Linked DNA regions of Anolis sagrei. The protein of the gene in region 2 interacts with the protein of the main gene of each other region in a pairwise test. Links are inferred from orthologs where the notes say so. Each region holds a gene or a part of one and is shown on either strand. Other genes may lie near its edges. The genes, in order: KLHL18, EEF1G and ILF2.

Region 1 (8,042 bases), on a different chromosome or scaffold from region 2:
GTCTCCTCATGATGTGGCCAAAGGACTTCTGCTTTGTCTCTAGTCTCCTTCCCTCCAATGAGCAGCCGGGCTTTATTTCCTGGAGGATGGACTGGTTGGATCTTCTCGCAGTCCAAGGCACTCTCAGCACTTTCCTCCAGCACCACAGCTCAAAAGCATCTCTCTTCCTTCGCTCAGCCTTCCCTAAGGTCCAGCTCTCACATCCATAGGTTACTACAGGGAAGACCATGGCTTTGACTAGGCAATGGATCTTGGTTGCCAGTCTGATGTCTCTACTCTTTACTATTCTATCGAGACTGGACATTGCTCTCCTCCCAAGAAGGAAGCGTCTCCTGATTTCCTGGCCACAGTCTGCATCTGCAGTCATCTTTGCGCCTAGAAATACAAAGTCTGTCACGGCCTCCACATTTTCTCCCTCTATTTTCCAGTTGTCAGTCATTCTTGTTGCCATAATCTTGGTTTTTTTGATATTTACCTGCAGCCCGGCTTTTGCGCTTTCTTCTTTCACCTTGATTAGAAGGCTCCTCGGCTCCTCCTCGCTTTCGGCCATCAGAGTGGTGTCATCTGCATATCTGAGGTTGTTGATGTTTCTTCCAGCAATTTTCACCCCAGCTTTGCATTCCTCAAGCCCCGCACATCCTCGCATGATGTGTTCTGCATATAAGTTAAAAAGGTTGGGTGAGAGGATGCAGCCTTGCCGTACGCCTTTCCCAATCTTGAACCCGTCTCCTGTTCCGTGGTCAGTTCTGACTGTTGCCACTTGGTCCTTGTACAGATTCCTCAGGAGAGAGGGAAGGGGGCTTGGGATGCCCATCCCACCAAGAACTTGCCACAATTTATTATGATCCACACAGTCAAAGGCTTTAGAATAGTCAATGAAGCAGAAGTAGATGTTTTTCTGAAACTCCCTGCCTTTCTCCATTCTTCAGCTTCCGGATATTGGCAATCTGGTCTCTGGTTCCTCTGCCTTTTCTAAACCCAGCTTGAACATCTGGCAGCTCTCGCTCCATGTATTGCTGGAGTCTTCCTTGCAGGATCTTGAGCATTACCTTACTGGCATGAGAAATAAGGGCCACGGTACGGAAGTTGGAGCAGTCTTTCGCATTTCCCTTTTTTGGTATGGGGATATAAGTGGATTTTTTCCAGTCTGATGGCCATTCTTGTGTTTTCCATATTTGCTGGCATATGGCATGCATCACCTTGACAGCATCATCTTTTAAGATTTTAAACAGTTCAACTGGGATCCTGTCGTCTCCTGCTGCCTTGTTGTTAGCAATGCTTCTTAAGGCCCATTCCACCTCACTCCTCAGGATGTCTGGTTCTAATTCATTCACCACACTGTCAAAACTATCCTCAATATTATTATCCTTCCTATACAGATCTTCTGTATAGTCTCACCACCTTCTCTTCTCTCTTCAGCTTCTGTTAGGTCCCTGCCATCTTTGTTTCTTATCATACCAATTTTTGCCTGAAATTTACCTCCAATGTTTCTAATTTTCTGGAAGAATAATAATGAATTTTATATATATATATATATATATATATATATATATATATAATATTTTATATGTATATTTAATATATTATATTATATATTATATAATATTATATTATATTTATTTATTTGGATTGCTTTTACCCCGCCCTTCTCAACCCCCTAGGGGGGACTCAGGGCGGCTTACAAAAGGCACAATTCGATGCCTAACAATTACAGCATACAGTACACTATACAATACACAAATTTACCACATAATATCACAGTTATAACTAATTAAAATTTATACATTATATTATATTATATAATATTTTATATGTATATTTAATATATTTTATTATATTTATATATAATATATAATAATATTATATATATTATATAATATAATATTATTAATACAATATAATACTAATTAATAATATATAATATTAATATTATATTAATATATAATATTGATACTATATTAATATATAATATTAATATAATAATATTATATATTTATTATATTTATATAATATAATATTATAATAATGAATCATATATACATTACATTATATATATAATATTATAATATATTAAATATATATAATATAATATAATAATAATAATATTGAATTATATATATAATATTTTATATGTATATTTAATATATTTTATTATATTTATATATAATATATAATAATATTATATATTATATATAATATAATATTAATATATTAATAAATATTAATATAATATTAATATAATAACTACTAATATATTACATTAATAATATTATATAATATATAATATATATTATATTATATATATAAATATAATAAAATATATTAAATATACATATAATATATAATTATATATATAATTCATTGTTATTATATTAACATAATATAATATAATATATTAATATAAATATAATATTTAGGTAACGGCGCTCCATGCAGTCATGCTGGCCACATGACCTTGGAAGGTGTCTACGGACAACGCCGGCTCTTCGGCTTAGAAATGGAGATGAGCACCATCCACCAGACACAATTTATTTATTTCATTCACTTATACCCCGCCCTTCTCACCCCGGGGGGGACTCAGGGCGGCTTACAGGGGAAGGCACAATTAGATGCCCAAACACATAACAAATAATACAAAAATAACAATTCAACACTTAAGTTAAAAACATCGGTACATAGTAAAATCCTGAAACCTAAAAACAATCTCAAGTCAGGGTCCATATATCAGAGTCCACAGTCCGATCTACTCCGTTTGTCTTTGTCTATTCCCAGGTCCTTGATTTAATTGTTAGAGTGACCAAAAGCTTGGTCCCACATCCAGGTCTTTAGTTTTTTCCTAAATGCTAGGAGAGAGGTCGCCGATCTAATCTCCCCGGGGAGTGAGTTCCACAGGCGGGGGGCCGCCACTGAGAAGGCCCTGCTCCTCGTCCCCGCCAGCCTCGCTTGAGAGACTGGCGGGGTCGAGAGCAGGGCCTCCCCAGAAGATCTTAGACTTCGAGGTGGGACGTAGAGGGAGATCCGTTCGGACAAATACACTGTGCCGGAACCGTATAGGGTTTTATAGGTCAAGACCAGCACTTTAAATTCTGCTCGGAATTGGATTGGCAGCCAGTGGAGCTGACGCAACAGGGGGGTGGTGTGCTCCCTGTATGTCGCTCCGGTGAGCAACCTGGCTGCTTCTCGCTGTACAAGTTGAAGTTTCCGAGCAGTCTTTAATGGCAACCCCACATAGAGTGCGTTGCAGTAATCCAGCCGGGATGTGACAAGAGCGTGGACCACCGTGGCCAGATCCGACTTCTGGACTTAATGTCAGGAGACTACCTTTACCTTTACCTATAACATAATATAATATATATAATATAATAATAATATAATATAATATATATAATTAATATAATATAATATAACATAATATAATAATATAATATAATTAAATAAAATAAATAATATATATAATATAATATAATAATATAATATAATATAATAATTTAATATAATATGACATAATATAATATAATATATTATATATATAATAATATAATAATAATGATTCGTTATAGTAATAATCATAATAATCTATTTTACAAACCCGCCTGAAACGGAGCAAGAGAGAGCGCACGCGCGGAGGTAGTTCTCCCTCCGTTGCTGTGGCGACCGCCACTTCCTGCGTCTCCCCGTTGCCTAGGCGACGCCCGCTTCCTTCCCTTCCCAAAACCCCGCCCTCCCGGTGACGTCAGGCGAGGCTTCAAAGCGCAAAGGGGGCGGGGCGTCAGGCACAGAAGGGAGGAGGATGTCAATGATGTCACTTCCGGCGTTTCTCTCACTCTCTCAGTGAAAGCGGTGCGGCGACGGTGGCCGAGCGGGGCCAAGCCGAGGAGAAGGAGGAGGAGGTGGTGCTGCCGCCATGCTGGAGACGGCGGGCCCGGATCCGGAGCTGGACCCGGAGGATTTGGTCCACTTCTCGGTGGGGGACTTGCCCAGCCGGGGCTACGGCGTGATGGGAGAGATACGCAGGCAAGGGAAGCTCTGCGACGTCACCCTCAAGGTAAGGAAGGCCTCAGCAGGCCAGTTTGGGCCCTCCCTCCTTGTATGAGTTTGGGACTACAACTCCCACAATTCCTCACAGCCTCAGTCCCCTTCTTTTTCCCCCTCAGCCGCTTAAGCGGCTGAGGGGGAAAAGGAAGGGGCCTGAGGCTGTGAGGAATTGTGGGAGTTGTAGTCCCAAACTCATACAAACAGGTTGGGTCCCTAGGTGACTGTGGAGCCCTATTCTTGACCTGCATCTTCTCCCACAGTGAGGGCATCGGTTTCAAAGTGGAAGTCAGCCCCAGTCGGGGTTGGCTTGACATGCCTTCCTCTTGGCACGCTTCTCTTTTTCGCCCTCTTCAAATTCTACAGCACTGCTGGTCACAGCTGACCTCCAGCTGGAGCGGTCAAGGGCCAGGACTTCCCAGTTCTCAGTGTCTATGCCAGAGTTTTTAAGGTTGGCTTTGAGCCCATCTTTCAATCTCTTTTCCTGCCCACCATAATTCCGTTTTCCCTTCTCGAGTTCGGAGTAGAGCAACTGCTTTGGGAGACAGTGGTCGAGCATCCGGATAACGTGAGTTGATGGTGGAGGACGATCGCTTCAATGCTGGTGGTCTTTGCTTCTTCCAGCACGCTGACGTTTGTCCGCTTGTCTATCAAAGAGATTTGCAGGATTTTCCGGAGGCAGCGCTGATGGAATCGTTCCAGGAATTGCATGTGACGTCTGTAGACAGTCCACGTTTTGCAGGTGTATAGCAGGGTTGGGAGGACAATAGCTTTATAGACAAGCACCTTGGTATCCCTACAGGTGTCTCAGTCCTCAAACACTCTCTGCTTCATTCGGAAAAATGCTGCACTCGCAGAGCTCAGGCGGTGTTGTATTTCAGTGTCCATGTTGACTTCTGTAAACAGTCCACTTCTTGCAGGTGTATAGCAGGGTTGGGAAGACAATGGCTTTATAAACAAGCACCTTAGTATCCCATTTGTCCACCTGTCTTCCCAAGAGATTTGCAGGATTTTCCGGAGGCAGCGCTGATGGAATCGTTCCAGGAGTTGCATGTGACATCTGTAGACAGTCCACGTTTCGCAGGTGTATAGCAGGGTTGGGAGGACAGTAGCTTTATAAATAAGCACCTTGGTATCCCTACAGATGTCCCGGTCCTCAAATACTCTCTGTTTCATTCGGAAGAATGCTGCACTTGCAGAGCTCGGGTGGTGTTGTATTTCAGTGTCAATGATGACTTCTGTAGACAGTCCACGTCTCGCAGGCGTATAGCAGGGTTGGGAGGAGAAGGGCTTTATAAACAAGCACCTTGGTATCCCTACGGATGTCCTGGTCCTCAAACACTCTCTGCTTCATTCGGAAAAATGCTGCGCTCACAGAGCTCAGGTGGTGGTGTATTTCAGTGTCAATGTTGACTTTGGTGGAGAGGTGGCTGTCAAGGTAGCGGAAATGGTCCACGTTTTCTAATGTTACACCATTAAGCTGTATTTCTGGCATTGGAGAGGGAGTGGCCGGTGACTGCTGGAAGAGCACTTTGGTTTTCTCGATATTTAATGACAGGCCGAGCTTCTCGTATGCTTCTGCAAAGGTGTTTAGAGTGGCATTCTTCTGAATGCACACAGATGACGTTATCCTCAGTATACTGGAATTCTGTAACAGATGTTGTTGTGACCTTAGTTTTAGCTTTCAGTCTGCCGAGGGTAAATAGCTTGCTGATAGATGATTTCCACTCCGGTGGGGATCTTCCCATCAACAAGGTGAAGTATCAGAGCGATGAAGATGGAGAATAAAGTTGGGGCAATAACACATCCCTGTTTGACACCTGATTCCATCTTAAATGGGTCACTTTGGGAGCCATTGCTGTCCAATCCCAGGTGACAGCAGGATTGAAGAGAAACAACCAGAAAAGCTGACACGATGTGAGGATGTAAAAATCGAATTGCAAAGACTCTGGCACAAGCCAGTAAAGGTGGTCCCATTGGTGGTCAGCACACTGGGTGCAGTGCCTCAAGACCTTGGCCTGCACTTAAACACAGTCTGCACTAACAAAATTACCACCTGCCAGCTGCAGAAGGCCACCTTACTGGGATCTGATACATCACACAGTCCTAGGCACTTGGGAAGTGTCCGACGTGTGATCCAATACAACAGTCACCAGAGTGATCTTGTTTGCAGGGGACTCATCTTGTTGTGTTTCCAACTGACAAAATACCCAGTGCATAGGGATCACCAAATGCAGCATTGCCCAGGCACAAATCAAAGAACACAAAAGGCACTGCAGACACATTCAGCCAGAGAAGTCAGCCATACCAGAGCATTTGATGAACCAACCTGGACGCGGAATATTATTTGAGAACACAGACATTCTAGACACCATGTCAAACTACACAGAGATGCCCCTGAAATCCACAGGCATGTGAACAATCTCAACAGAAAGGGCATTCCATAGACATATATACTCCTCTTGCTTAAAGAATCATAGAATCAAAGAGTTGGAAGAGACCTCATGGGCCATCCAGTCCAACCCCATTCTGCCAAGAAGCAGGAATGTTGCATTCAAATCATCCCTGACAGATGGCCATCCAGCCTCTGTTTAAAAGCTTCCAAAGAAGGAGCCTCCACCACACTCCGGGGCAGAGAGTTCCACTGCTGAACGGCTCTCACAGTCAGGAAGTTCTTCCTCATGTTCAGATGGAATCTCCTCTTTTGTAGTTCGAAGCCATTGTTCCATTGCGTCCTAGTCTCCGAGGAAACAGAAAACAAGCTTGCTCCTTCCTCCCTGTGGCTTCCTCTCACATATTTATATATGACTATCATATCTCCTCTCAGCCTTCTCTTCTTCAGACTAAACATGCCGAGCTCCTTAAGCCGCTCCTCATAGGGCTTCTTCTCCAGACCCTTGATCATTTTACTATCAGATTACTATCAGATCCTTGGAAGATGCTAGCCACAGATGCAGGCAAAACATCAGGAGAATATGCTGCTAGAACACATTGGCCAGACAGCCCGGAAGCCACGCAACACACCAACTCCCATTCCCTTTGGTTATTTGCCCTGCAGACTGGGAACGATGGGAATGGTAACCCAACATTATTTATGCCTCTGAGGTTAGGGAAAGGTTAAAATGCTTTTTAAAGTCAGGCATCATATCCACAAGCCTTGGATCTATATTCAAACCCCGCTGATTGACCATAACAAACTACATCTGTATCACTGATGGCAGCTCTTGTCATGTTGTCTAATGATGAATAATACGGGAGTTGTATTCCAGCATTTGGAGGAGGGCCACATAAAAGGAAATGGAGGAATGGATGTTGCCCAAGAGCCTTGAGTTTGACACCTCTGCATCAATAATCTTCCTCTCTTCTGCTTTGACAGGCCTCATTTTGGAATATTTATTTATTTATTTCAGTTATTTCTACCCCGCCCTTCCCACCTCGGAGGGGACTCAGGGCGGCTTACAAAGGCACAATTTGATGCCGGCATCAACATAACAGTAGAATAAAAACAATATAGCAGCAATTAAACAATTAACAATCAGTTTCTACATTGCAACAATAAAACCAAAAAACCAATAAAACCAATTTCACCTAATTAACGCTCAGCATTCGGAATAATACTGTGTCCAATTCTGGGCAAAGCTGTTCAAGAAGGAGATGGACAGTGAGACAAAAGGTCTTTAGAGAAGGGCGACCAAAATGACCTAAGGACTGGAAACTATGAATAAATGAAAAAGTGCTGGCGACTTTCTCTGACTGTGCTCTAGCGAGTGTCCTAACCTACTGCATCTGTGCATGGTTTGGCAACTGCACAGTGGCAGATAGGAAAGTGCTCCAAAGGGTCACCATCTCTGCACAGAGAAATGTTGGTTGCCCTCTTTCTCCCCTCTTTGGAAGAACTTTATAGGTTCCGCAACCTTATGAAAGCTCTGAACATTCTTGGGGATCCATCTTGCCCAGCATATTCTCTTTTTGAAGTATTACCACCTAGCAAACAGTTCAGGGTGACAAAG
Region 2 (8,042 bases):
CGCGTGGCAGGGGATGGCTAGTTTGATATAAAGGCGATGGTGTATGGTGCGGACTTTACCTGCTTGTTGTAATGCATGATGCCCAAGGTTGGGAAGACCCAGGTACTGGCGGGAGGCACAATATCGCTGTCGGCAAAGCTCACCCACTGGAGGACCTGGGCGGCCGCCTCTTTGGTGGCTCCTCGCAGCTCTTCGTTGCTGACTGAAGGAATGAAGGAGACGGTCACCACAATAGGCCTTGCTTGGATTCCTGAGCTGAATTCCCACAAACTATAAATCCCCCTTTATGGAGGTAATGACAAAGACACATGGGGGAATACTGTTACCGTAGTGTGCAATGGCGTTGCTCTCAAACACGCAGAACCCATCGTCCCCTTCAAAAGCTGGGACCTACAAAGAAAGAGCTGTCGTAAGCCACCAAAGGGATGTAAACAATGACGCTAAGTCTCCCAGTGCTCCCAAGAATACGCTTCCCAGTCTTGACAGGTCCCAGCTCCATCCCAGAGACCCACCTTCCCAACTGGGAATTTCTTCAGGAACTCGGGGGTCTTGTTGGTCTGCCCGAAGTGGAACTGGGGCGGGCTGGAGAGGACCTTGATCTTGGCGCCGCTGTACTGGGCCGCAATGAGGACCTTGAAAGCCCGCCAGTTTTCGGGGTAAGTGTAGAGAGTCTGCAGAAGGATAATATTAATATTATTATTATTACTATTACTATTATTTTACTGACACCAAACCACAGTATGTCACAGCAAACGAGATCTATATGCTGGATTTCCTATCACAAAATCACAAGTCGAACACTTCCCAAGCATCTAGGACTGTGTGATGTATACATATTTATTATTATTATTATTATTATTATTATTATTATTATTATACCCCACTTATTCTCTTCACAAACAAGACCCAAAGAGGTTATGTATCTATTATTAGTATTATCATTTATTATTTATTATTTATTAATTTATTATTTATTATTATTATATTATATTATTATAAAGGAGAGAAAGAGGGATGAAAAGAAAAAGGGGGAGGAAAGAAAGAGGTAGAGAAGGATGGAAGAGAAGGTAAAAAAAAGGAAAGGAATGAAAGAGGTAGAGAAGTAAGAAAGGAGAGAAAGAGGAAGGGAAGGAAAAAAGAAAAGACAAGTATGGATAGAAGCAAAAAGCAAAGGAAGGAAGGAAAGAGGTAGAGAAGGAAGAAAGGAGAGAAAGAGGAATGAAAAGAAAAAGGGGAAAAGAAAGAGGTAGAGAAGGAAGGAAGAGAAGGTAAGAAAAAGGAAAGGAAGGAAAGAGGTAGAGAAGGAAGAAAGGAGAGAAAGGGGGAGGGAAGGAAAGAAGGAAAGACCAAAGTATGGATAGAAGCAAAAAGCTAAGGAATTTATTATTATTATTATTATATTATGTTTATACCCTGCTTATTCTCGCCACAAACAAGACCCAAATTGGCTACGCATCTATTATTAGTTTTAGTATGCATTATTATTACTATTATGTTTATACTCTGCTTATTCTCTCCCCAAACAAGACCCAAAGTGGCTATATATCTATTATTATGTTTATATCTATTATTAGTATTAATATGTATTATAATTATTATTGTTTATACTCTGCTTATTATCTCCACAAACAGTGGCTATGTATCTATTTTTAGTATTAGATGTATAATAGTAATAGCAATTATAATTATTATTGTTTATATTCTGCTTATTCTCTCCCCAAGGAAGACCCAAAGCAACTATGTATCTATATTAGTATGTATGTATTATTATGTTTGTACTCTGCTTATTCTCTCCCCAAGGAAGAACGAAAGTGCCTATGTATCTATTATTATTATTATTATACCTGCTTTTCTCTCCAGAAACAAGACTCAAAGTGGTTATGTATCTATTATTATTATGTTTATACCCTGCTTATTTTCTCTACAAAAAAGACCCAAAGTGCCTATGTATCTATTATTATTACTATTATTATTATTATTATTATTATTATACTCTGCTTATTCTCTCCACAAGCAAGACCCAAAGTGCCTATGTATCTATTATTATTATTATTTATCTATTGTTATTATTATTATTATGTTTATACGCTGCTTACTCTCCACAAACAAGACCCAAAGAGGCTATGTATCTATTATTATTATTATGATGTTTATATCTATAATTAGTATTAGTATTATTATTATGTTTATACTCTGCTTATTCTCTCCACAAACAAGACCCAAAGTGCCTATGTATTATTATTATTATGTATTATTATGTATATATTATTATTTTTATACTCTGCTTATTCTCACCACAAACAAAACCCAAAGTGCCTATATATCTATTATTATTATTATTATTATGTATATATTATTATTATTATTATTATTATTATGTTTATACTCTGCTTATTCTCTCCACAAACAAAACCCAAAGTGCCTATATATCTATTATTATTATGTATATATTATTATTATGTATTATTATGTATATATTATTATTATTATTATTATTATTATGTTTATACTCTGCTTATTCTCACCACAAACAAAACCCAAAGTGCCTATATATCTATTATTATTATGTATATATTATTATTATGTATTATTATGTATATATTATTATTATTATTATTATGTTTATACTCTGCTTATTCTCACCACAAACAAAACCCAAAGTGCCTATATATCTATTATTATTATGTATATATTATTATTATGTATTATTATGTATATATTATTATTATTATTATTATTATTATTATTATTATTATTATGTTTATACTCTGCTTATTCTCTCCACAAACAAGACCCAAAGTGCCTATGTATCTATTACTATTACTATTATTATTAGGGATGAGGGGAAGGACAAGAAAGACATGAAAAGGAGCAGAGGAACAGGATGATGGGCAATGTAGTCCCACAATGGCTAGCAATACAAAGTATTAGACAGCAAAAGGAACAGGATGATGGGCAATGCAGTCCCACAATGGCTAGCAATACAAAGTATTAGACAGCAAAAGAACAGGATGATGGGCAATGTAGTCCCACAATGGCTAGCAAGACAAAGTATTAGACAGCAAAGGAACAGGATGATGGGCACCAGATTGCCCCAAGGCTTCTCAGTCCCAGTTGTCACAACAGGCCAAAGAACAGCCTGCAAGCTTGGGCCCTCTGAGTGTTTGGGACTACAACTCCCATCATTCCTCGCAGCCTCAGGCCCCTTCCTTTTCCCCCTCAGCCGCTTAAGGAATGATGGGAGTTGTAGTCCCAAACACCAGGAGGGCCCAGGGGGGAAAGGAAAGGGCCTGACGCTGTGAGGGATGATGGGAGTTGTAGTCCCAAACACCTGGAGGGCCCAGGGGGGAAATGAAAGGGCCTGAGGCTGTGAGGAATGATGGGAGTTGTAGTCCCAAACACCAGGAGAGCCCAGGGGGGAAAGGAAGGGGCCTGAGGCTGTGAAGAATGATGGGAGTTGTAGTCCCAAACACCTGGAGGGCCCAGGGGGGAAAGGAAAGGGCCTGAGGCTGTGAGGAATGATGGGAGTTGTAGTCCCAAACACCTGGAGGGCCCAGGGGGAAAAGGAAAGGGCCTGAGGTTGTGAGGAATGATGGGAATTGTAGTCCCAAACACCTGGAGGGCCCAGGGGGGAAAGGAAAGGTCCTGAGGCTGTGAGGAATGATGGGAATTGTAGTCCCAAACACCTGGAGGGCCCAGGGGGGAAGGAAAGGGCCTGAGGTTGTGAGGAATGATGGGAATTGTAGTCCCAAACACCTGGAGGGCCCAGGGGGGAAGGAAAGGGCCTGAGGTTGTGAGGAATGATGGGAGTTGTAGTCCCAAACACCTGGAGGGCCCAGGGGGGAAAGGAAAGGTCCTGAGGCTGTGAGGAATGATGGGAATTGTAGTCCCAAACACCTGGAGGGCCCAGGGGGGAAAGGAAAGGTCCTGAGGCTGTGAGGAATGATGGGAGTTGTAGTCCCAAACACCAGGAGTGTCCAAGCTTGGGCCCAAGCCTGCTTCTAGACTCCCTCCACTCCACTGAGGCCTAAGAAGCCACTTCGACGTGGATAGAGTGACCCGACACTCCCCCCCGGAGGCCCTTCTCGCCCCCATTTCTCGCCCTTCATCCGCTTCCTCGCCCCCATATAGGCCCCAAAACCTCCGCCGGGGTCCCCTCTCCCCACTCGTCCCGCTTCGGGGCCCCTCCGTGGCTCCCCGGCCCCGATGGAAGCGGATGGAGGCCGGCTCCCCCTCCGGAAAGCGAGCTCACCCCGGCCGCCGCCATCTTCGCGAGGAGAGGAAAAGGAGGAGCGTCGCACGGCGCGGCCGTAAAGCGCAGCAGTGCGACATTCCCCGCCGGCCTCTTCTGTGACGTCACCAGAGAGAGAGAGGCGGGGCCTTGCGGAGGAGAAATGCCCAAGGAAACATAGAGCTAGCCAAAAAATAGTAGACAACCATCACCCTCAATCGGAGAGGGAGTTTCCGGGTTGCTCAGAAATTCTTTCCCAGAAACGCCCAAGGAAACATAGAGCTAGCCAAAAAATAGTAGACAACTATCACCCTCAATCGAAGAGGGAGTTTCCAGGTTGCGCAGAAGGAAATGCACAAGGAAACATAGAGCTAGCAAAAAAAGTAGTAAACAACCATTACTCTCAATTGGAGAGGGAGTTTCCAGGTTGCTCAGAAAGAAATGCCCAAGGAAACATAGAGCTAGCCAAAAATAGTAGACAACCATCACCCTCAATCAGAGAGGGAGTTTCCGGGTTGCTCAGAAAGAAATGCCCCAAGGAAACATAGAGCTAGCTAAAAAATAGTAGACAACCATCACCCTCAATCGGAGAGGGAGTTTCCGGGTTGCTTATAAATTATTTCGCAGAAATGCCCAAGGAAACATAGAGCTATCCAAAAAATGGTAGACAACCATCACCCTCAATCGGAGAGGGAGTTTCCGGGTTGCTTATAAATTATTTCGCAGAAATGCCCAAGGAAACATAGAGCTATCCAAAAAATAGTAGACAACCATCACCCTCAATCGGAGAGGGAGTTTCCCGGTTGCTCAGAAATCCTTTCCCAGAAATGCCCAAGGAGACATAGAGCTAGCCAAAAAATAATAGACAACTATCACCCTCAATCGGAGAGGGAGTTTCCGGGTTCCTCAGAAATCCTTTCCCAGAAATGTCCAAGGAAACATAGAGCTAGCCAAAAAATAGTAGACAACCATCACCCTCAATCGGAGAGGGAGCTTCCGGGTTCCTCAGAAATTCTTTCCCACCATATGGTTACAGTCTTATTATTATTGGTACATATTATTATTATTATTATTATTATTATTATTATATGTTACATTACATTATGTTACATTGTTATAGTGCTATTACTGGAATATTATATTATTATTATAATTATTATATTATTATATTATGTTACATGGTGAAAGTGCTATTATTGGTATAGTATTATTATTATTATTATTATTATTATATTATATTGCATTGTTGTAGTGTTATTATTGGAATATTATTATTATATTATTATATTATTATTATATTATGTTACATGGTTAAAGTGCTATTCCTGGTATATTATTATATTATTATTATATTATATTGCATTGTTGTAGTGTTATTATTGGCATATTATTATAATATTATATTATGTTACATTACATTATATTACATTGTTATAGTGATATTCTTTGTATATTATTATTATATTATTATATTACATATTATATTTATATTATTATATTATATATTATATTATACTATATTTCATTGTTATAGTATTGGTATATTATTATTATTACATCACATTACATTATATTACATATTACATTGTCATAGTGGTATTATTCGTAGATTATTAGAATATAATATTATATTATGTGACTTACATTATATTACATTGTTATAGTGCTATTCTTGGTATATTATTATAATATTATTATTATATTATATTGCATTCTTATAGTGTTATTATTGGCATATTATTATAATATTATATTACGTTACATTACATTATATTACATTGTATGTTTTGCATGTTTTGATATGGTCAAAATTGACTAATCAATAAAGAATTGTTGTTGTTGTATATTACATTGTTGTAGTGCTATTATTGGCATATTATTATAATATTATTGTATTATATTACATTATGTTATACTACATTGTTATAGTGCTATTATTGGTATATATAATAATAATAATAATAAATAATAATCTTAAATCGGCATATTATTATAATATTATTGTATTATATTACATTATGTTATACTACATTGTTATAGTGCTATTATTGGTATATATAATAATAATAATAATAATAAATAATAATCTTAAATCGGCATATTATTATAATATTATTGTATTATATTACATTATGTTATACTACATTGTTATAGTGCTATTATTGGTATATATAATAATAATAATAATAAATAATAATCTTAAATCGGCATATTATTATAATATTATTGTATTATTTTACATTACGTTATATTACATTGTTATAGTGCTATTATTGGCATATTATATAATCATAATAATAAATCTTATTATTTATTATAATAATAAATAATTATTATATTTTTATATTATATTATACATATTATTATATTTATAATAAATAATATATTATGAAGGTGGCTCCCTCCACCTTCCTGACTGTTTACACAAATCTCAGCACGCAATCAAAGATAAGAATCCCCGTAAAAGTCCAGAGAGCGAAGGCTGGGCTTCCTCCTCCTTCTTCCTCCCGGAGAAGAAGACGGGCCACCAACCGTGCCCTGCCCAGTGGTCATAAACAGGGGTTGTCCTTGGTCTTGAGGCAGGTTCCAGCCTTCCTTTGGCAGGTTAGATCTTCCCTTCCTTTCTCAAAGGAAGACCTGGAGAAGCGGAAGAGAACGAAAAGCCAAGGGAGACGTATCATCTGGGAGGCCACCACCCATGGAGGAGCATTCCTTTTGGTGATCCAGCGGGCAACGTGGTCCAAACCAAAGTATCTTTTGGAGAAGATGGAGGCCAGGAGGGATCTGGAACTCAAGAACCAGACCTCCCTTGACCACAGCGTTTGGAATTGGTCCTCCGTTGGTGCCTTCAATGAGGATGAAGACCTTCAGATGCCTTCTGACGTTGCCTTTGGCTTGCGGATGACCATCGTCGTGGTCTATGCGTTGGTCTGTGCCATGGGGCTGTTGGGAAACGCGTTGGTGATGTACTTAATCCGAGCACAGAAGATCCGCCCCGCGCCGGCCATTAATATCTTCGTCTTTGGCTTGGCGGCGGCCGACTTCCAGTTCTCCTTGACCCTTCCCTTCTGGGCAACCGAGATGGCGCTGGACTTCAGCTGGCCCTTTGGCATAACCTTATGCAAGATAGTCCCATCGATGACCGTCCTCAGCATCTACACCAACGTCTTCTTGCTCACGGCCATGAGCGTTGCCCGCTACCAGTTGGTGGCTTCAGCCATCAAGGATGGTTCCAGAATCACAATGCGCGTGGCCAAGTGGACAACGTTGGCTCTTTGGGTCTTAGCCATGGGAGCCACCATTCCGACCATGATCTACACCTCTGTGGTGGACGTCCTTGGGGTGGAAATCTGCGTTTTCAAGTTCCCGTCGCCGTTTTGGTTGGGCGCCTACCAACTCCAGAGGGTGGTCTTCACCTTCGTGGTGCCATTAGTGGTCATCTTGACCTCCTACCTGCTCCTCCTGAGGTTCCTCCACGTCCGCCGTGTCTCCGGTGAGAACTCAAAGAGGCGGAAACAAGTCATGGCTACGGTCGGCTTAGTGGTGGGGTGCTTCTTCGTCTGCTGGTTCCCCAACCACGCCGTGACCTTTTGGGGCATCCTAATCAAGTTCAAGGTGGTCTCTCTGGGGAAGGCCTTCTACGTCGTCCACACGTACTTTTTCCCCATCTCCACTTGCTTGGCTCACGCCAGCAGTTGCCTCAACCCGGTCCTATACTGTCTGATGCGCCGTGAATTCCGGGAAGCCCTCAAAGACACCTTCCGGAGGTTCTCCTCCTCCGTGGCGAACTACCAGTACTTCTCTTCTCACC
Region 3 (8,042 bases), about 20 Mb from region 2:
TCACAGTATTTGACCTTACCTATTTAGGGAGGAACCTATTTCACCCATAAACAACAACAACAACACACTATTTTTGCCCTTACCTGCTCAGGAGGGAACCTGTTGCACCTATGAATATCTATTGTTGTTGTTGTTGTTGTTGTTGTTATTTCACTATACTTGCCCTTACCTGCTCAAGAGAGAACCTGTTGCACTTATAAATATCTGCTATTGTTGTTGTTGTTGCACTATATTTGCCCTTACCATCTCAGGAGGGAACCTAGTGCACCTATAAATATCTATTATTATTATTATTATTATTATTATTGCTGTTGTTGTTGTTATTGCACTATACTTGCCCTTACCTGCTCAGGAGGGAACCTGTTGCACCTATTATTATTATTATTATTATTATTATTATTATTATTATTATTGCTGTTGTTGTTGTTATTGCACTATACTTGCCCTTACCTGCTCAGGAGGGAACCTGCTGCACCTATTAATATCTATTATTATTATTATTATTATTATTATTATTATTATTATTGCTGTTGTTGTTATTGTACTATACTTTCCCTTACCTGCTCAGGAGGGAACCTGTTGCACCTATAAATATCTACTCTCCTTCTCCTTCTCCTTCTCGTTATTATTATTATTATTATTATTATTGCTGTTGTTGTTGTTGTTGTTGTTATTGCACTATACTTGCCCTTACCTGCTCAGGAGGGAACCTGTTGCACATATAAATATCTATTATTATTATTATTATTATTATTATTATTGCTGTTGTTGTTATTGCACTATACTTTCCCTTACCTGCTCAGGAGGGAACCTGTTGCACCTATAAATATCTACTCTCCTTCTCCTTCTCCTTCTCGTTATTATTATTATTATTATTATTATTATTATTATTATTGCTGTTGTTGTTGTTGTTGTTATTGCACTATACTTGCCCTTACCTGCTCAGGAGGGAACCTGTTGCACATATAAATATCTATTATTATTATTATTATTATTATTATTATTATTATTATTATTATTATTATTATTATTATTATTGCTGTTGTTATTATTGCACTATATTTGCCCTTACCTGCTCAACCTGCTGCACCAATTAATATTATTATTCCTATTACGATGACTAATATTGCATACTTGTCCTTGCCTGCTCAAGATGGCACTGGCTGCACCAATAACATTAGCATTAGTATTCTTATTATCTCAGGGAATTTGCTCTTGCAAACAACAACAACAACACTACAATTAGAAGAATAATAATTACAGACTCACTGGAGCCCTAAAGTGAGGCGGGCAATATCGCCACCTGGTGGTCAGTGCTAGGAATGCCCTCTTCTGCTCCACAAGGTCTCTCATTAGTACTAATTATTATGATTCTCATCATCATCACTGTCATCAGTGCTATAAACATCTATGGCCTCCCCAGGACACCATATAAATAATCAATTAATTATTAATATTCTTAATTGTTATTACTTGTGAATAATTAATTATATTATATTAATAGTTAATAATTAATATTAATAATTAATATTATTATTAATATAACGAATATGGCTAATTTAATATAACTAAATTATAATTAATATTAATAGTTAATAGTTTCCTATTAATTGATATTAATTAAATATTAATATTAATTAATATTAGTGATTAATATAAATAAGTATTAATAGTTAATACTTAGTAGGCATCCTATTAATTAATATTAATTAAATATTAATATTAATTAATATTAATAATTCAAGTAATCAATTATTAATAGTTAATAATGAATATTAATAATTAATATTATTGATATAACGAATATAGCTAATATAATATAACGAAATTATAATTAATATTAATATAATTAATATTTTGATTTTGATTGATGATTAATATTAATTAATGTTAATATTTAATTAATATCAATTAATAGACATCTTATTAATTAATATTAATTAAATATTAACATTAATTAATATTAATAATCAATATAATTAATTATTAATAGTTAACAATTAATAGCCATCCTATTAATTAATATTAATTAAATATTAATATTAATTAATGTTAATAATTAATATAATTAATTATTAATAGTTAATGATTAATAAGCATTCTATTAATTAAAATTAATTAAATTTTAATATTAAGTAATATTAATAATTAATATAAATAATTATTAATAGTTAATGATTAATAGGTATCTTAACTATTAATTATTATTTATATAATATTAATAATTATTAATAGTTAGGATACCTATTAATCATTAACTATTAATAATTATTTATATTGATTTATATTAAAAAACCAAAACAAAATTCAAATGAATATTAATTACAGTAATTTCCAAGTAGGTACGGGCTTTTCCTAAATTAACAAAGCGTGCTTAATGTTGTGTTTAAGGGAGAATTAAATTATCATTGCTAATTATTATTAATTATTATTATTATTATTTATTAAATAATAAATAATATTAATTAATATTAATAATTAATATTAATAATTATTAGGTATCCTATTAATACTAATTATTAATTATTATAATTAATAATAATAATTAATAATAATTAGCAAATAGCAATGATAATTTAATTCTCCCTTAAACACAACATTAAGCACACTTTGTTAATTTAGGAGAAGCACGTACCTACTTAGAAATGAATTACTGTAATTAATATTCATTTGAATATTAATTTGAATAATTTGAAGAGAGGGGAAAAAATTAGCAGAGGATGGTTTCGATCCATCGACCTCTGGGTTATGGGCCCAGCACGCTTCCGCTGCGCCACTCTGCTCCATTGGAACTCCAGGCGGCTTAGGGAGTACATAAGAGCATGTCACGTTCTGCGCATGCGCACGTTTCTTGGAGTCATTTCCTTTGGAGTCTCTCCTCCTAGGGAAGCACCGCGCATGCGCCCCTTTCGCCTCTTCTCTCCATCTCCTCCTAGGGAGGCACTGCGCATGCGTCCCTTTCTCTTCTCTCCATCTCCTCCTAGTGAGGCACTGCGCATGCACCGCTTTCGCCTCTTCTCTCATCTCCTCCTAGTGAGGCACTGCGCATGCGTCCCTTTCTCTTCTCTCATCTCTGCCTAGTGAGGCACTGCGCATGCGTCCCTTTTTCCTCTTCTCTCTCCTCCTAGTGAGGCACTGCGCATGCGCCCCTTTCGCCTCTTCTCTCCTCCTAGTGCGCATGCGTTCCTTTCTCCTCTCAATCTCCTCCTAGTCAGCCACTGCGCATGCGTCCCTTTCTCCTCTCAATCTCCTCCTAGTGAGGCACTGCGCATGCGCCCCTTTCTCTCAATCTCCTCCTAGTGAGGCACTGCGCATGCGTCCCTTTCTCTCCCTCTCCTCCTAGTGAGGCACTGCGCATGCGTCCCTTTCTCCTCTCAATCGCCTCCAATGAGGCACTGCGCATGCGCTCCTTTCTCCTCCTCTCTCCTTTCTCCTATTGGCGAACGAGGAGAAAAAAGAGAAAAGGGTGTGCGCGCGCGGCCTGATTGATAGGCCCAGAAGCCAATAAAATCACAGAACCTGAAAGAAAGGGCGGGGAAAAAAGAGGAACGCGAGACAGGAATTGGCTGCAAGGTTAGGAACCTACCACGGCGGGTTTTACTCACTTGGGAAGGCCAATCGCGTCGACGCTTCTTGCGAGGTGGACAAAGGCGGCGGCGAAAGAGCGGGCCGGGTGGTTATTCTTCGCGGAGGGTCTTCAGGGAGGAAGAGGCGCTTTGCGGACTCGGAACGGTTCTCACTGGAAGGAAGCATGAGGTAAAAAGAGGGAGAAGTCAGAGAGAGAGATGGAAATATGGAAATATACATATTATATTATGTATATTATATATATATATATATATATATAATATTATTATAATATTATAGTATTTAATTTAATAAATATATTATATTATTATATGTATATTTAATATTTAATATTTAATATTATTATAATATTATAATATTTAATATAATATATATATATGTATATATATAATGTTATTATAATATAATAATATTTAATTTAATATATAATATATATATTATATTATTAAATATAATATATAATACTAAATATAAAATATATATTATATGAAAATTATATATTTATTTAATATATATGAGATAAATAAAATACTATGTATATTATTTAATATTGTATAATGTTCTATATATTAAACATTACACATTAAATAATATATGTAGTATTTTATTTATCTCATATATATTAAATTTAATATATAAATAATATATAGATAATATAGATACATTCTCTATAATATATATAATATCTATCTGATATTATATCTATATGATCTATATATTAGATATAATATCATATACATATTATAGAGAATGTATCTATATTATCTATATATTAAATTGTAGATATATTATCTATAATATAGATAATAGATAATATAGATACATTCTCTATAATATCTATATGATCTATATATTAAACATTATACAGTATTAAATAATATATATAGTATTTCATTTATCTCATATATATTAAATTAATATATAATTTTCATATAATATATGTTATATTATAGATAATATATCTACAATATAATATATAATCATCTATATTATCTATATTATAGATAATATAGATATAATTTAATATATAGATAATATATTATAACTATATATAATATAATATATCACACGCATATTAAATATTATACGATATTAAATATTAAATAGTTTATTTAATATATTATAGATACTCAATATATTTAATGCTATATATATATATATATATATATATATATATATAATATGCACAGACTATATAAAGGCCTTAAATCACCATATATATATATATTATGTTATACTTATATAATTTTAAATATTGTATAAGATTTAATCTATATATATAAATTTGTTAGGGGCATCCAACGAGGAAACAAAACTCAAAAACCCCCCAACGAAACTGTACCAAAATTGCCATGCCCATAAGACAACCCACAAGGTACAAACATATCTACTCAAAATGAAAAACAACACAACAACACACTCACAAAACGGCAAAACAATTGAGCATGCGCATTGGTGCCCAGCCGCAAGTTCCCTGGCGCGCGCACACAGTTCCCTCTGCGGAAGCCATGCCCACTCCAAGCCCCGCTACGCTCCTTCCCGTACACACACACCCCGCCGCAAGCACACACACAACCCCACGCTCCATCACTCCCCCCGCCGCACACACACACGCAACCCCACGCTCCATCACTCCCCCACCGCCACATACACACGCGCAACCCCACTCCCCCCCGCTGCCGCACACACACACGCAACCCCACGCTCCATCACTCCCCCCGCTGCCGCACACACACACACAACCTCACGCTCCATCACTTGCCTGCCCCAATCTTACCTCCTTTTACTTCACGCCACCTCCAAACCCCACCGCACCCCTTCCCGCCCTGTCAAAATCCAGGAAAGACAGGAAGGAAGGAAAGAAGGAAGAAAGAGAAAGGGAGATAAAGAAAAGGGGGAAGGAAGGAAAGTTAGAGAAAGAAGGAAGAAGAAAAGGAAAGAAAAGGAAAGATGGAAGGAAAGAAAAGAGAGACAGCAGAAGAGAAAGAAAAAGGGGGAAGGAAGGAAAGAGGTAGAGAAGGAAGAAATGAGAGACAGAGGGAGGGAAAGAAAAAGGGGGAAGGAAGGAAGGAGAGAAGGAAAGAAAAAAGGGAATGAAAGAAGGAAAGAGGGAGTGAAGGAAGGGGGAAGATGTAGAGAAAGAGGGAGGGAAGGAAAGAAGGAAAGAGAGAAGGAAGAAAAGAGACCAGAAGAGAAAGAAAAAGGGGGAAGGAAGGAAAGAGAGAAGGAAAGAAAAAAGGGAATGAAGGAAGGAAAGAGGGAGTGAAGGAAGGGGGAAGATGTAGAGAAAGAGGGAGGGAAGGAAAGAAGGAAAGAGAGAAGGAAGGAAAGAGGCCAGAAGAGAAAGAAAAAGGGGGAAGGAAGGAAGGAGAGAAGGAAAGAAAAAAGGGAATGAAGGAAGGAAAGAGGGAGTGAAGAAAGGGGGAAGATGTAGAGAAAGAGGGAGGGAAGGAAAGAAGGAAAGAGAGAAGGAAGGAAAGAGGCCAGAAGAGAAAGAAAAAGGGGGAAGGAAGGAGATAGAGAAGGAAGAGGAGAAGGAAAGATGGGAGGGAAGGAAGGAAGGAGGGAAAGAAGGAGAGAAAGAGGGAAGGTTGGTCACAGCAATGCGTGGCGGGTAAAGGTTGTTATTTCTATGATTATTATGATGCTATTATTCCTCTGAGACCCTTTTAGGGGGAATGGGAGAGGTGTCAGGTCCCGGAGGCAATGCATTGCATTATTGCTATTGTTATGATGGTGGTGAAATAAAAGGAAATAAAAAGCGAAAGAAGGAAGCAAACAGGGAGGGAAGAAAGGCAAAGGAAGAAAGGGGGAGGGAATGAAGGAAAGAGAGAAGGATGAAACCAAGTAGTGAAAGAAGGAAAGAAAGAAAGAGGTAGAGAAGGAAGAAAGGAGAGAAAGGGGGAGGAAAAGGGGGAAGGAAGAGGTAGGTACCTCTCTTTCATAATAGTCCAGATATCTACCTCAACTTTGATAAGTTTTACTATAGGCCACAGCAACGCATGGCAGGGCACAGCTAGTACTGTATATATTTGTGTGGGTGTAATATACCTATATTATCTATATATTACATATTATACAATTTTAAATATTACATAAATATGATATAAACATATATATGGTGTTTTATTTAATGCCTTTGTACTTTGCATATATATATATATATATATTATAATATACATACTCTATATATTTAATGCTATATATATATATATAAGCACAGAATATATAAAGACATTAAAACTATATATACATATACATACATCATACTTGCATAACATTTGATATTGTATAATATTTAACACTGTATATATATTGTGTGGGTGTAATATATATCTATATTATCTATATATTACATATTATGCAATATTAAATATTACATAAATATAGTATTAACATATATATGGTGTTTTATTTAATGCCTTTATATATTCTGTGCTCTCTCTATATATAGCATTAAATATATTGAATGTCTATATCTATCTTTCTATACGCATCTATCTATCTATATATATTGTGGCAGAGGCCTCCTGCCTCCACAAACATAATACTGGCAGGATTTGGGGGTGCCTGCCCTTGGCATATGGGACTTGTAGTTCACCCTTATCCAGAGAGAACTGAACCCAGCTGACGACGGATCTGGACCTCACTTGACACGCAGACGCAGCATGGCCAGCTGGTTTGGGGAGGATTGACCCATGATTCTGGGAACTGTAGTTCTCCCACATTTTCTAATGGGAACATTCCTAAAAAACGAAATCTCATTCTGGCTTTTTTCCTAATTAACAGGGGCGATAGAGGCCGTGGTCGTGGAGGGCGCTTTGGCTCTCGGGGAGGCCCTGGCAGTGGGTAAGTCCCAGAGATTGTGTGTGTGTGTTTGTGTGTGAGAGAGAGACAGTCCTCGAGTAGCACCTCCATCTTTGTTTGTGTCTGTGGGAGTCGTAGTTTGGTGAGGCACCCGCACTTTGGCAGAGAAGGCTAAAGCCCTTCAGATATGACCCCAGGATGCCATACCATGGAGCCGTGACGGCTAAAGTGGTGTTGAGCTGCATTAATAATACAGTGTGGACACACCCCTTGAAAGCTTGACAGCTTGATCTGTGCTGTCAGTGTAGTTTTCCATGACCTCGAAAGTGTGCTGTATCTGGGACAGTGGGAATTTAACACTGCAAGCTTTAGGTATTTCTTCTGTGGCTCGGCTGCTGTTGCGCATGTTGTGTTGTTTTGTGGTGTCCTTTTATAGATGTCTTTGACTTGGTTGTGCCCTGCTTTGAGCCCAAAGGCGAGGAATAAATAGAATGATTGTTATTGTTACGTGCCTTGTGCTGGATCTACACTGTCCTACATCCCAGGATATGGTCCCAGATTATTTGGCCATGTAGACTTATATAATCCAGTTCAAAGCAGATAATTTTGGATAATATCCTGGGATATAGGACAATATAAATCCAGCC

What was found.
Region 1: the proteins of EEF1G (region 2) and KLHL18 interact in binary tests that used the Homo sapiens proteins (3 or more experiments, as listed by UniProt). The two-hybrid records come from large-scale screens. The link is inferred for Anolis sagrei from reciprocal best matches to the Homo sapiens genes EEF1G and KLHL18.
Region 3: the proteins of EEF1G (region 2) and ILF2 interact in a two-hybrid assay, tested with the Homo sapiens proteins (2 studies listed by BioGRID and IntAct). The two-hybrid records come from large-scale screens. The link is inferred for Anolis sagrei from reciprocal best matches to the Homo sapiens genes EEF1G and ILF2.

The regions. Positions count from the first base shown.
Region 1 is NC_090026.1:130,253,620-130,261,661, forward strand, and holds the start of KLHL18 (kelch-like protein 18), read left to right. Parts: upstream 1-3,789; 5' UTR 3,790-3,904; coding exon 3,905-4,045; intron 4,046-8,042. UniProt on the Homo sapiens protein: Substrate-specific adapter of a BCR (BTB-CUL3-RBX1) E3 ubiquitin-protein ligase complex required for mitotic progression and cytokinesis.
Region 2 is NC_090032.1:21,211,624-21,219,665, forward strand, and holds the start of EEF1G (elongation factor 1-gamma), read right to left. Parts: upstream 4,361-8,042; 5' UTR 4,268-4,360; coding exon 4,253-4,267; intron 672-4,252; coding exon 513-671; intron 391-512; coding exon 327-390; intron 203-326; coding exon 60-202; intron 1-59. Other genes in the region: RXFP4 (relaxin-3 receptor 2), read left to right, coding at 6,620-8,042. UniProt on the Homo sapiens protein: Probably plays a role in anchoring the complex to other cellular components.
Region 3 is NC_090032.1:1,535,117-1,543,158, reverse strand, and holds the start of ILF2 (interleukin enhancer-binding factor 2), read left to right. Parts: upstream 1-3,624; 5' UTR 3,625-3,751; coding exon 3,752-3,756; intron 3,757-7,377; coding exon 7,378-7,437; intron 7,438-8,042. UniProt on the Homo sapiens protein: Chromatin-interacting protein that forms a stable heterodimer with interleukin enhancer-binding factor 3/ILF3 and plays a role in several biological processes including transcription, innate immunity or cell growth.